Linked DNA regions of Mus musculus: regions 2 and 3 are each reported to be linked to region 1. The links are microRNA targets in miRTarBase. Many come from high-throughput screens and were not tested one by one. Region 1 holds a microRNA gene; each other region holds the end of a gene's coding sequence.

Region 1 (4,000 bases):
TAAACTTAAGAGTTATCAGTGTTACCATGGACTCTACAAGTAGTTTATCAGAAAGGTACAAATTCTGACTGGAGTTGCTTTGTTTTCCATACTATTTTGAAAACATTTCACATGGGGTTCATAAATATTACCTTGACTTGTTTCCTGCCCGGTAGAGGCTCTCCGCTCACAATCTTCACAATCACTCCAGTCACAAACTGTGGGCCTTGTGCACTGACCTTCTCCTGGGTGGAACACTCTTGACCACTGCCTGCTGCTGTGAAGAGGAAGGAGCCAGAGGTAACCTTCCCACTCCTGACATTTCACATGAGGAGCACTATTCTACAACAGCAGCAGCAGCAGCAGCAGCGACTTCTCAGGCTAGTTTAAGGATCTCAGAATTGTAAATAATATTAAGGAATCACACTGCCCATTGGAATCAACATGGCACAAAAGGCATTATACCTCTAAACCAAAGAATAAAGCCTTAATAAAGATGTATGCCTATATGAACATAAGACTATTCAAAGTATTCTATTCTTTTTTTTTTTTTTTTTTGGTTTTTCGGGACAGGGTTTCTCTGTATAGCCCTGGCTGTCCTGGAACTCACTTTGTAGACCAGGCTGGCCTTGAACTCAGAAATCCGCCTGCCTCTGTCTCCCCAGTGCTGGGATCAAAGGCATGAGCCACCACTGCCTGGCTTCAACAATTTCATTTTTTAAAAAATTTGTTTATTTATTTTATTTATGAGGACGCTGCAGCTGTCTTCAGACACTCCAGGATAGGGTATCAGATCCCACCATGTGGTTGCTAGGACTTGAACTCAGGACCTCTGGAAGAGCAGTCAGTGTGCTTAACCACTGAGCCATTTCTCCAGCCACAAAGTATACTGTTCAAATATGAGAATTTGTATAATTTGCAAGAACTTAAAACCTTTACTAATATTACAATGAACGAGAGTAGTGCTCTAATATGCTCCTGCTTGCTGAACATCATCCACTAAGCCTGCAGTCTTTATTTCTCTCTCCAGGCACTCACAAGTGAGCTCGCAGGTAAGTAGAGAAGAATAAACAGACTATTAAAACCTAGTGTGTAATACAAAACTTCACATTTTTACTTTTCTTAAAACATTTTGTTTTTGGAAATGGTTCAGCTTAAAACTGAGGAAGCCACTCTATCACTGCAATAAAACTGCCCCTGAAACCATTCATAGACTAAAGCCCACTCTTCCATTACATGAGCGTCACCCTCTCCGTTCCCCACTGCACACTTACTAGGCGCTTTACAGTCTGTTTCCATTTCTGATTCCAATTTGATTTGAGATATTGTTTTTTTTAGAGAAGCCATGCTAGCTTTTTGCAGTGCCAAATACTCTTTCTTCAAATCCATCCATTCAGTCCTGAAAAACAAAAATTGAGCCATTACAGTGATAAGACGACCCAACTAGAAATCTGAAGTTGATCTAAACACAATGTTCATAGGAACTGCAAGTCTTTCTGACTTTTCTTTCTTTTAAGGCATATGTTTACATTATTTGTTAAGCCATTTGTTAAAGCTACCTAGCAAACACACAAAGGAAGTTTCTTTGTCTTAACAGGCAAGGAAAATGCTTGAGTTTCCTGGTTGCTTCTAATATTTAATTGTAAAATCACTTTTGAGTCACTTCTATTAAGTAAAATCACTAAATCAGGCAACCTGGAGAAAAAGTAAGAGACTAAAACTTAAAGATTTCTCAAATTGCTTCCAATTTGAGAGCTAACATTCCTTAGGATTTACTTGAATCAAAAGGAATTTCTAAGAAGAAAAAAACACCCCATGGAAGCAATTTATTTATTTACATACATTTAACATGTAGATGTATCTTCAAACAGCTAGGGCTCCTCCAGAGAAGCACAATGCATCTCCTGGCTCTGTGGGAGCGCTCATTGTTACCCTAATCTGTGCCATCAAACGGGCAGATAGGAGATTTTTTTTAAAGAGGAGGATATCTTGTGGTAATGGTTTTAGCAGTTAACATTGACATCTGTTTACTTCAAAAAAGGAAAAAAAAAAAAAAAATCCAGACCTACCCAGGTCCCCAGGACCTACTTTCCCCAGAGCTGATACATTAAAATAACAAAGGGTCTTGTAATGATTCTCAGAGATAGAAAGCCAAAAGGAACTCAGGAGTTAGGAGTAGTATAAATACAAGTGGTCTAAAGTCGGCGTCTTTCACCCTCCGAGGACAGAACAGGACTCTTTGGGAGGCGGTCACGAAGGTAAAGGAGGTAAAGCTTATGTCTGTAACCGGGTCACTTTACTTTCCTGTGGGTTTGCTCTTCTGTTTTAACTAGTTGCCTTGTGGGTGGGTTCCCTTCAACTTTAACATGGGAATGCTTTCTGTCTCATCGAAGAGTAAGTGCTTCCATGTTTTAGTAGAAGTGAATTCAAGAAACTCTGGAATAAGAAAGCTAGCCTTTTAATTCAGAGTCTGATGGGAGTCCCCTCTGCTTTAACATGGGGTTACCTGCTGTGTTAAACAAAAGCAAGTGCTTCCATGTTTCAGTGGGGGTGTCTTAAACTGTTCAACATTTTCTCTAAGATGCTGTAGGTTAAGGGAGTTATTGACTGGGCTTCCCACCACTTAAACGTGGTTGTACTTGCTTTAGACCTAAGAAAGTAAGTGCTTCCATGTTTTGGTGATGGTATGTTTTCCTTTATATTCATGCCTTTGTAAAGACCACTCAAGTCTGCTTAAGGGGCCTCCTTTACTTTAACATGGAGGCACTTGCTGTGCATTTAAAAATAAGTGCTTCCATGTTTGAGTGTGGTGGCTCCTACTTAATCTTCATTGTGCTGCATATAGATAGACCAAGGCCGTCACTGTTGCTAACATGCAACTCTGTTGAATAGAAATTGGAATTGCACTTTAGCAATGGTGATGGACCTGTGTCAGTGGCCACTTACTTGGACAGCACTCTCAATGGTATAACCTCCTCGCCCATCTTATGTCTCTCCTTGTGTTTCTTCTTATGCTTCCTCTTCACCTTTGAGAGTGAGTCACCTTTTCTGTCTGTCTCCTTCTCCTCCTCAGTAGAGCAGAATTCTAAGTCTAGAAAAAAGATTTCCGTAAGTCCGTTGTTGTGGTTAAACTGGTTAAAACATTTGTAACCCTACTGCCACGGTACCTCTGCTCTCCTTGGAGACCTCGGAAGCTGCTTGGCCGACGCCATCCTTCTGAGCCCTTTTCTTAGCTTTTGGCCTTGGGGGGAGGCAGTCTTCGTCCTCGGCGCTGCACCTCTCCCTCTTCCCTGCCCTGGCTTCAGGTAAGCTGGATGCTTCCACCTTGTCCCGCTTCTTCTTTTTCTTTGCAGGTTGCTTTGGAGCTTCCGGGGTTTCTGCTTCGGAGCCCTCAGAGGCCGTCCTTGGTCTCTTCGTGGCTTTACACACGCCCGAGCTGCTGCTGTCCACGGCCGACTCTTTGGCCTGCACACTCTCTTCCTTCTTTATTCTGCCTTTTTTCTTTTTCTTCTTTTTCTTCTCTTCTGTAACAAGATTTTATTATTTACAGTCATAATAGTTTATTGTTTACTTGGCCACTCTAAGTAAGCACTCACCTGCTACTCGTAAGGAAGGGATGGGCTTGTTTTTCACTGTCTTGGGAAATATACCAGGCTTTCTAGGTGCTTCTTCTGGTGGGTTGTTCAGAAACTGAAAAGATTGATTGCAGAATTTGTTACTCTTGTTAACCCTGTGCTTTTTCTTTACTTTTCAGGGTCCCACAGAAGTACGTACCTCAATGGCTTTTGCTGCTTGCTCTTTTGTTTCAAATTCCACAAAGGCAAATCCCTTAGGATCCCCAGTAGACTTGTAATGTGGAATACTTATGTAAACCACATTGCCACATTTCCCAAATACTCTCTCAATCCAGCTATGAGTAACATTTTTGGGGAGCAACTCCTGTAATAAATCATGGTATGAACATTTTAAAGTTCCTACATTTTTACCAATAAATGAATTATAAATAAATGAACTAGAATTA
Region 2 (4,290 bases), not on the chromosome of region 1:
TGGGGTTACCAGGGGAACCCATATATCATACACTCTGTGTGCATTATTGGAACTACTAAATATATATATTTTTTCTGATTCCAAATTGAATTAAAAAGAAAAAAAGGATAGGGGAACCTAAACCACAAGCAGTGCCTGTTGGCATCCAAAGACCAGTTTTGCAGACCCACTCCAAACTCAGGATGTCACACATAGGTGTCACCTGTTGCTATAGCTACCACATACCTTCCCAGAGCCCTGCTTCCCACACTCACCTGGGTACCCCCTTTCGCTTTTTTTCTTTTCCCCTTTGTCTTTCTCTCTCTCCCCTCTCTGTCCCCAGTAAAACCTCTTACACATGGAACTGCTTTGGCCTGGTAAGCAATGTCAGACACTAGCTGCTATTCTAACACATCAGTACCCAAATCCCTTTGCCCCCATCAGGGCTGCGAGAGAAGCAGGTAGCTTCACCAAGGCCATGGCTCCCTCATTCCTGGACAAGGTAGCTAGGACAAGGGCAGGGTCTCCCCGACAGTTTGAAGGGGTGAGGAAAACCATAATAAAACATCAAATAAATTGAACAGGAGTCCAGCCAAGGTCCCAGCCAGAGCAGAACCTGACTGGGGGAGGGGCCTCTGTAGGCTCATGGATCACTGCTGCTGCCACCACCACCACCACCCTGGAAGCCAGTTATTTTGCCATGGCCTTGATTGCAACAGCAGCCGCCTCCTCTGTCATAGCAGACAGCACTGTGATCATGGATGGAGTTTCCAGGGGAGCTCTGTGTGCATTATTGGAATATTACTAAATGCATTTTTTTTATTTAAAAGGTCTCAAAATTAAGATGAGTTCAACTCAAGATGGAGTTTGCTTTTGGTTTTGGTTTAATGTTTGGTTTATGGAGACAGAGTTTCTCAGTCCTGGCTGTCCTGGAACTCACTCTGTAGACCAGGCTTAGCCTCAAACTCAGATCCACCTGCAGCTGCCTCCAAGTGCAAGGATTGAAGGCGTGGGCCGCCACCATGCTGCTTAGCTACAGTTTTGAGGTACCATAAGGATGTTGGGAATTGAACTCAGGTGCTCTTGGAGGAGCAGCCAATGCTTTTCAACTTTTTATTTATTTATTTATTTTTGTGAGTCTCACATTATGCACCTGCACCCCAATCTCACTCATCTCCCCGTCCCTTCACATCCCCCTCTTCCCTTGCAACTTCCCCACAAACACACCCCATGGAGAGCATTTTGACACGGACACTATAGTGTGCCAGGGTGTGTTCTACAGTATACCTACCCTCTTGTCCACACATCTTGCAAATGTTCATTGCATTTAGTCACTGGTCTGGTTTGAGTCTTCTTGCTTCTGCAACACTATCAATACTGGATCCTCACAGGACTCCTCTTAGTTATCCTGTTGTTGGCCTGGATCATGGAAATCCTGCAGCTTTGGATCTGTAGGACCAGCCCTTGCACATGCTCCAGCAGCTCATAGATGAATTAGATTTTGGGGTGGGACAACTCAAAGCGCTGGATCTGGGTGGTAGCTGAGACAGATGGCTAGCCCACCAGCTCTCTCATATCTGCACCACCAGGGCAAGCTTTCTAGCACTGCCCTTGCTAGCTCACCCAATACTGCAGCTGGCAGTGAGGGGCTGGGCCAGCTCTCCCACTCACTCCCTCAGAGCTGGCTGTTGCCCAGACAAGGTGCAAGGCCACTCTCCCAAGTCCTGCCTGTTCTCATGACCTAGGACCTGCCTCAGGTGTTGAGGGATGGGGGAGGGCATCTCCACTGCACCCATGTCCCATCATGGCAGTGGGGCCAGCTCTGTGCTGCTCCTGCAAGGTGGAAGGCCTGCTCTCCTGATTGCTGCAGCCAGTCAGGGGTGGGGCCAGCTCTGGATATCTGGATATCAGCCCTTGGATATCTATGAGGTCTCTCCCACACAGCAGCCCAGACCAGGGAGGTCTGCATGGTCTATGTAGTAATATGATCCAAGAAATCAACAGGCCCCTGCTACTACATGACCACAGACCCAGACATGACCCGCAGTGACAGCATGACAACCAATGCTCTTAACCACTAGAGAGACATCTCTATCTCCCCCCTTACTTCTCTATATGTCTACCACATGGATGGCTGGAGGACCCAATTTAAAGCAGCACTCTATCACCTGCCTAAAACTGTTGGTGGGGTGGGGGTGGGGGAGATATTAATATCTGAATTTAATGTAGCCCCAGGAGTTTAGAGATGTAAACTGTACAGGACTGAGCATAATTTCTGTGTTTTATCCATTTTTTAAGGCAAAAGTCTCACTATACAGTTCAGGCTGCCCTCAAAGTCAATATCTTACTATTTCTGCTTCTCAAGGTCTGGGATGGATTACAGGAGTGTGAGAACCCTAAGGGATATGAATTTCAGACTGGCCTATAACAGGCAGCAGCACCATGGGCTCCTTGGCAGCCAGCCAGTACAAATCACCCAACATCCAGATGCCCTTTTCTTTCCAAGGGACTGAGTGTGTGTGTGTGTGTGTGTGTGTGTGTGTGTGTGTGTGTGTGTGTGTGTGTGAGAGAGAGAGAGAGAGAGAGAGAGGGAGAGGGAGAGGGAGAGGGAAAAGGAGAGGGAGAGAGTATGTTTAGAGAGAGAAAAAGAGTTTAGAGAGAAAAAGAGAGTTTGGAGATAGAAAGTTTAGAGAGAGAAAAAAGTTTAGAGATGAAAAGAGAAAAAGTTTAGAGAAAGAGAAAGAAAAGTTAAGAGAGAGGGAGAGAGAGGGAGAGAGTGTGTTTAGACAGAGAAAAAGTTTAGAGATAGAAAAAAAGAGTTTAGAAATAGAAAGTTTAGAGAGTTTAGAGAGAGAAAAAGAAAGTTGGGAGATAGAGAAACGAGAGAGAGAAAGAGTTTAGACAGAGAAAAAGTTTAGACAGAGAAAAAAAGAGTTTAAAGATAAAAGAGAAAGTTTAGAGAAAGAGATTGTTTCTCTGTGTACCCTGGCTGTCCTAAAATTTGCTCTAAAGATCAGACAGGCCTCAAAGTCAACTCAAACATTGTCCTGCCTCTAGAGTGCTGGGATCATAGGTGTAGATTACCATGGCCAGTGGGACTTGGACCTTCTAAGGGACTTTTAGAATTTGTATTTAGACGGATGAGCCTAAAACCAGAGTGACATCCTGATAGGGCAGACTGGCAATGTGAGGATCCAGATGAAAAGCCACAACAAACTACTAACATTGTTTTAGAATATTCTTTTTAATGATTATGTGTTTCTGTGTACATGAACACATGTGTAGTAGGTGACCAGAGAGGCCAGGTGAGGGCATCCGATCCAGAAATGTAGTTACATGGGTGCTGGGAACTGAACTGCAGCCCTCAACAGGAGTGGTGTTAATCTCTCAACACCACCCCCTAACATTTTTCTTAAAATGAAAGAAAGAAAGAAAGAAATCTAAAGTGCAGGTCATCAAACAATCAGCCCAGATTTCCACGTTTTTTAATCGTGTATCTGTGATGGAAAAGCAATTGTTCCATCATATAGGCTATTTTGTTTTGTTTCTTGTTTGTTTTTTTTTCCAAGACAGGGTTTCTCTGTGTAGTCCTGGCTATCCTGGAACTCACTCTGTAGACCAGGCTGGCCTTGAACTCAGAAATCTGCCTGCCTCTGCCTCCCAAGTGCTGGGATTAAAGGAGTGGGCCACAACTGCCTGGCTATATTTTTTAAAAAATATATACATATAAAAAAAAGATGTCAAGATGGAGAAGACAATTGGAGCGTGGAAGGAAGCACATTTCTTTCACATTCAAAGCTCACAACACAGCCCCACACACAGACAGGCGTTTTGTGCTCGGCATACCCTCCACCTCCAGTTCCAGGGGCCGCTTTTGACTGGAAGTCTGGAAATAAAGCAAAAGGAGAAGTGTTTAAGAGAAAGCACAGCTTCTATCAAAGCTCCTCATAGTTCAGTAAACTAGGGGCATTTCATGGAAATGACTAGTTGTCATGACAACCGAATCCTCCTCACACACCTCTGGAATCAAGATGCTTATCCATGCTCCCTGGCGATTTCTAACCACTAATAAATGTACAGCCACTTAAAAAAAAAAAAAAAACCTTTCAAGTGACACAAAAGCAAGTTCAAATTGGATCTTTCCTAGCAAAATTCTGGGTGAGGTATGATTGTAAAGCAGCCAGAGCTCCCGGCTCCCACAGGGTTACCAGGGAGCTCACACACGCTACTGTGCCACACCAGCTATTATCGTTAAATGCACTTTCTATTTAAAATGCCTCCATTTGAGATGAGTTCCTCAGAATATGATCC
Region 3 (4,290 bases), not on the chromosome of region 1:
ATGCTAGCAGCCAACCATCGGACTGAGCACAGGGACCAAAATGGAGTTAGGGGAAGGACTGAAGGAGCTGAAGGGGTCTTATCTGCCATCAATGTGAGGGGAGGCCCTTGATCATGTGAAGGCTTGATGGCGCAGTGTAGAGGAATGCTAGGGTGATGCGGCAGGAGTGGGTGGGGGAACACCCTCATAGAAGCAGAGTAAGGGGGGATGGGATGGGGGTTTGCAGAGGGGAAACCCAGAAAGGGGAGATAACATTTGAAATGTAAACAAATACAATATCCAATTCAAAATGATAATCTAATAAATTTAGGTGATTATGGTGCTTAGGGGGAGAGTTATATACTAAGTAGTAGAATCATTCTTAATTTTTGAACTGGACAATTAACAAAAGAATGAGATAAAATTCTGTGACTATTGCATTTGGATATACACTTATGTGTGTTTTCAGTAATAAAAAGTAATAGTATAGAATGTGCATGGTTTAGCTTCATACCACCACAAGGGAGGCATATGCTGAACACAGAGGCTTTTACAATTCTAATTACTCTAAGTCTATGTGACTATCATGTTGGCCAAAGAGCTGGTGTAATCATAGCTTGTACTATAGAAAATATATTCAGGAAATATGATACAATTTTTATATTCCAGCCAAAAAATAGAACTTCAGCAGCATGCTTTTCCAGCCCCAACACACACACACACACACACACACACACACACACATACACACACACACACACACACCTTGGCTAATAAGCACATAAAATCAATTTTATAAAATATTAAAGGGTACTGAAAAGATGGTTCCTAAGTTTAGAGCACTTGACGCTCTTAAAGAGGAACCCACAAGATAGCTAATAACCATTTGTAACTCCAGTTACAGGGGATCCAACATTGTCTTCTGGTCTTTTTGGGCACCCAGCATGCATGTGGTGCACAGACATACATGGCATGCAGGAAAAATACCCTTATGCATAAAAGAAAAATATTGCTGGAAATGCTATTGTATTCTATGTAACAGTGTATGAACAATGCAACTAATATTAAAAATAATTGACTACTAGATGATTTGAGATGTATTTCTATAAATCCAGCGTGAAATATTTCTGTCCTCTAGCACTTCAATCATTAGAACGTTCTGTATATGCTTTGTCCTGGCTACTTTTATGTCAATTTGACACAAGCTAGAGTCATCTGAAAGGAGGGAAACTTGATTGAGGAAATGCCTCCATGAGATCCAGCTGTAAGGCATGTTTTTCTTAATTAGTGATCAATAGAGAAGAGTCCAGTCCCTTGTGGGTGATGTCACCCCTGGTAGTCCCGGGTTCTATAAGAAAGCAGGGTGAGCAAGCCAGGGCAAGCAAGGCAGTAATCGGCACCATCCATGGTCTCTGCATGAGCTCCTGCATCCAAGCCTGCTTGAGTTCCTGCCCTGACATCCTTCAATGATGAGCAGTGTGTGGAAGAGTAAACCAAACAAACCCTCTTTCTCCCCAAGGTTCTTTGCTCATGGTGCTTCCTCACAGCAGTAATAACCCTGAGACATACTCCCTATACAATCCCAAACTCTATGGTAAAGCATCTGACTTGGAAAAATGCAAAAGAACTTCTAGAAACAGTAAGCTCTTCTTTTCTTGTGATTACAAAATATAGCTTCTTTTTTATTCTTTTAAAGTTTTATTTAGATCAGGCAGTGGCGGCGCATACCTTTAATGTCAGCACTTGGGAGGCAGAGGCAGGTGGATTTCTGAGTTCTAGGCCAGCCTGGTCTACAGAGTGAGTTTCCAGAACAGCCAGGGCTATCCAGAGAAACCCTGTCTTGAACCGTCCCCCAAAGTTTTATTTATTATTGTGTGCATTTATAATGTGTATGTGGTTGTATGTATGGGATGAAAGATGCTTGGTCAGACAGCAATTTGGTGGGGTTAGTTATGTGAGCTCTGGGGATCAAGCTCAGGTCTTTAGGTTCACATGGCAAGTGTCTTTACCCACTGAGCCAGCCCATGACTACCAAATGTATTTTCTATACAGTAAATTGATAATAAGTAGACATATCATATGCTAGTAATAGCAACTAAAGATTAGTATAAACATACTCATTGAGAAGTATGAATACAAAAATTCACACCCAAGTTTTGAAACAAAATATACCTAAAACTATGGCCAGCATTCAGCTCGGACTTGCTGGTCTGGGCTCCCACAGACGTTTTCTGAGAAGCCTGGGCTTTGTGTGGTAAGTAGCACCACCATTGGTAGTTTTTAACAGTTTGACTGTAATCCCTACTTGTGATTCTACACAGCTATGAACACTGGAAGAGAGCTGAAGCTGAGCGGAGTGGCGCACACTTGCAATGCTAGCAGTTGGGATGTGGAAGCAGGAGGACCTGAAGCTTCAAAGCAGCTCCTGCTACACAGCACCTTCTAATACAGCCTGAGCTAAAGGATACCTTGTTTCACAAATAAAAAGGATAGCCAAGGAAGGCAAATATAATCGTTGAGTGTGGTGCCTTGTACACTTGAGAGACTGAGACAAAAGTTTAACTATGAGTTCCAGGCCAGCCTGGACTACAGAGTGGGACACTGTCTCAAAACACACACACATACACAATTTCAGATATAAAAACACAATTACTAACAGATTGCTATAAGTGCAACTTGCATGTTCTGTTAATATTCCAATGACACATATTATTATCAGTCAAAGAGCAAATATAATGAAAGCTGGCCTTGGTGGCACAAGCCTTTATTCCCAGCACTTGGGAGGCAAAGACAGACAGACTTCTGTGAGTTCAAGTCTAGACTGGTTTACATAGTGATTTCCAGGACAGCCAGGGCTACACAGATGAGACCTTCTCTTTTAAAAAAGACATGAAATACTCTAAAACCAGGAAGTTTACACCTAAACTTTGAGAGCCATTCACCTCCAAATGATGGTAGCTAAGAACTTGACCAACAATGAAAGGTGAGACAATTCACCAGTTTGAACAAAAGGGGGGCATTTTAAAATCAAATTCACAAGAACCTCTTGTTGTGAGCTAAGCTCCTGAATTAGACCCAAACAGAAAAATCAAGATCAGGCACTCATATTAAGCCCCCATTTAACCAAAAGGAAACTAAATTGTCTTTCTGACTGTCTGAGAAATAGATTAGAGAGATTTAACAGTTAATGAAGATTCCTCTGCCTTTTTTTTTTCTTTTTCCCCGAGATAGGGTTTCTCTGTGTAGCCCTGGCTGTCCTGGAACTCACTTTGTAGACCAGGCTGGCCTCGAACTCAGAAATCCACCTGTCTCTGCCTCCCAAGTGCTGGGATTAAAGCCGTGCGCCACCACTGCCTGGCAGATTCCTCTGCCTTAACGCTGTCATAAGAAAGGGTGACCTCTGGACTGGAGAGATGGCTCAGCAGTTAAGAGCACTGACTGCTCTTCTGAAAGTCCTGAGTTCAATTCCCAGCAACCGTGGCTCACAACCATCCATAATGAGACCTGACACCCTCTTCTGGTGTGTCTAAAGACAGCTACATCATACTTACATATAATAATAAGTAAATCTGCTGAGCGTGGTGGCGCACGCCTTTAATCCCAGCACTTGGGAGGCAGAGACAGGTGGATTTCTGAGTTCGAGGCCAGCCTGGTCTACAAAGTGAGTTCCAGGCTAGCCAAGACTACACAGAGAAACCCTGTCTCAAAAAAAAAAAAGAAAGAAAGAAAGAAAGAAAGAAAGAAAGAAGAAAGAAAGAAAGAAAGAAAGAAAGAAAGAAAGAAAGAAAGAAAGAAAGAAAGAAAGGGTGACCTCAGATTGACGTTATTTGGGTACAGGTTTTTGTTTTTCTTCGTTTGTCTCCCGGTCTTTGCTTTACAAGAGTAGGAATTTTGAAATGTTACCCAAAAAAGGAAGAAAAAAATAGAAATGTATACATATAAGTATTATTAAATGCTGTGTTTTAAAATAATCTAGTTAAAATTTTAAGCTAATAGTCATTAAAACAAGATGCTGCTGAAGAATGCTGTCTTAGGGGGTGACTTCGCTGGCTGTTGGCTTGGGCTTCACTTGTATATTGAGCACATAGTCATGGCGGAAGGATGAGCGGACTGTGCGATTCATCAGCGGCTGAAGAGGGCGGAAGTTGTCCACCATTCTTTTCTCTTTCTCTCCCTCAGAAGTGAAAAGCAGGGTCCGAAACTGCTCAAGCTAGAAACAAAACATTACGAATATCAATCAGAAACAAGCTTTAGTATATGGATAAATTACTTTCTTTTTTGTTTGTTTGTTTGTTTGTCATGAGTCTCACT

The links. Region 1 holds the annotated microRNA mmu-miR-302a-3p (UAAGUGCUUCCAUGUUUUGGUGA, at 2,639-2,661, shown strand). A microRNA usually pairs through its seed, bases 2 to 8, with sites in the 3' UTR of a target mRNA and lowers its output. Matches are read on the target gene's strand: a 7mer-m8 pairs with bases 2 to 8, a 7mer-A1 pairs with bases 2 to 7 and ends in A, and an 8mer does both.
Region 2: miRTarBase lists Chek2 as a target of mmu-miR-302a-3p. Seed matches in the 3' UTR shown: 7mer-m8 at 3,642-3,648.
Region 3: miRTarBase lists Car5b as a target of mmu-miR-302a-3p. Seed matches in the 3' UTR shown: 7mer-m8 at 3,300-3,306 and 7mer-A1 at 2,646-2,652.

Annotation. Positions count from the first base shown.
Region 1 is chr3:127,542,901-127,546,900 of GRCm38, forward strand. It overlaps Mir302a (microRNA 302a), which reads left to right and starts at 2,596; the gene lies at 2,596-2,664. It overlaps Larp7 (La ribonucleoprotein domain family, member 7), which reads right to left. Exons shown (of 13, transcript NM_138593.2): 5 at 3,754-3,918; 6 at 3,576-3,669; 7 at 3,147-3,503; 8 at 2,926-3,070; 9 at 1,254-1,378; 10 at 132-256. Gm51018 (predicted gene, 51018) reads left to right here and starts at 2,189. Exons shown (of 2, transcript NR_146435.1): 1 at 2,189-2,246; 2 at 3,734-4,000. It overlaps Mir302b (microRNA 302b), which reads left to right and starts at 2,328; the gene lies at 2,328-2,401. It also overlaps Mir302c, Mir302d and Mir367.
Region 2 is chr5:110,873,055-110,877,344 of GRCm38, reverse strand. It overlaps Chek2 (checkpoint kinase 2), which reads right to left. Exons shown (of 15, transcript NM_016681.4): 15 at 3,205-3,865. The coding sequence ends at 3,779. Among named protein-coding and RNA genes, the nearest start is that of Ttc28, 4.6 kb to the left of the region's middle.
Region 3 is chrX:163,975,182-163,979,471 of GRCm38, forward strand. It overlaps Car5b (carbonic anhydrase 5b, mitochondrial), which reads right to left. Exons shown (of 8, transcript NM_181315.4): 8 at 1,641-4,189. The coding sequence ends at 4,010. It overlaps Gm38561 (a long non-coding RNA gene), which reads left to right. Exons shown (of 4, transcript XR_878297.3): 2 at 1-1,618. Among named protein-coding and RNA genes, the nearest start is that of Gm38561, 19 kb to the left of the region's middle.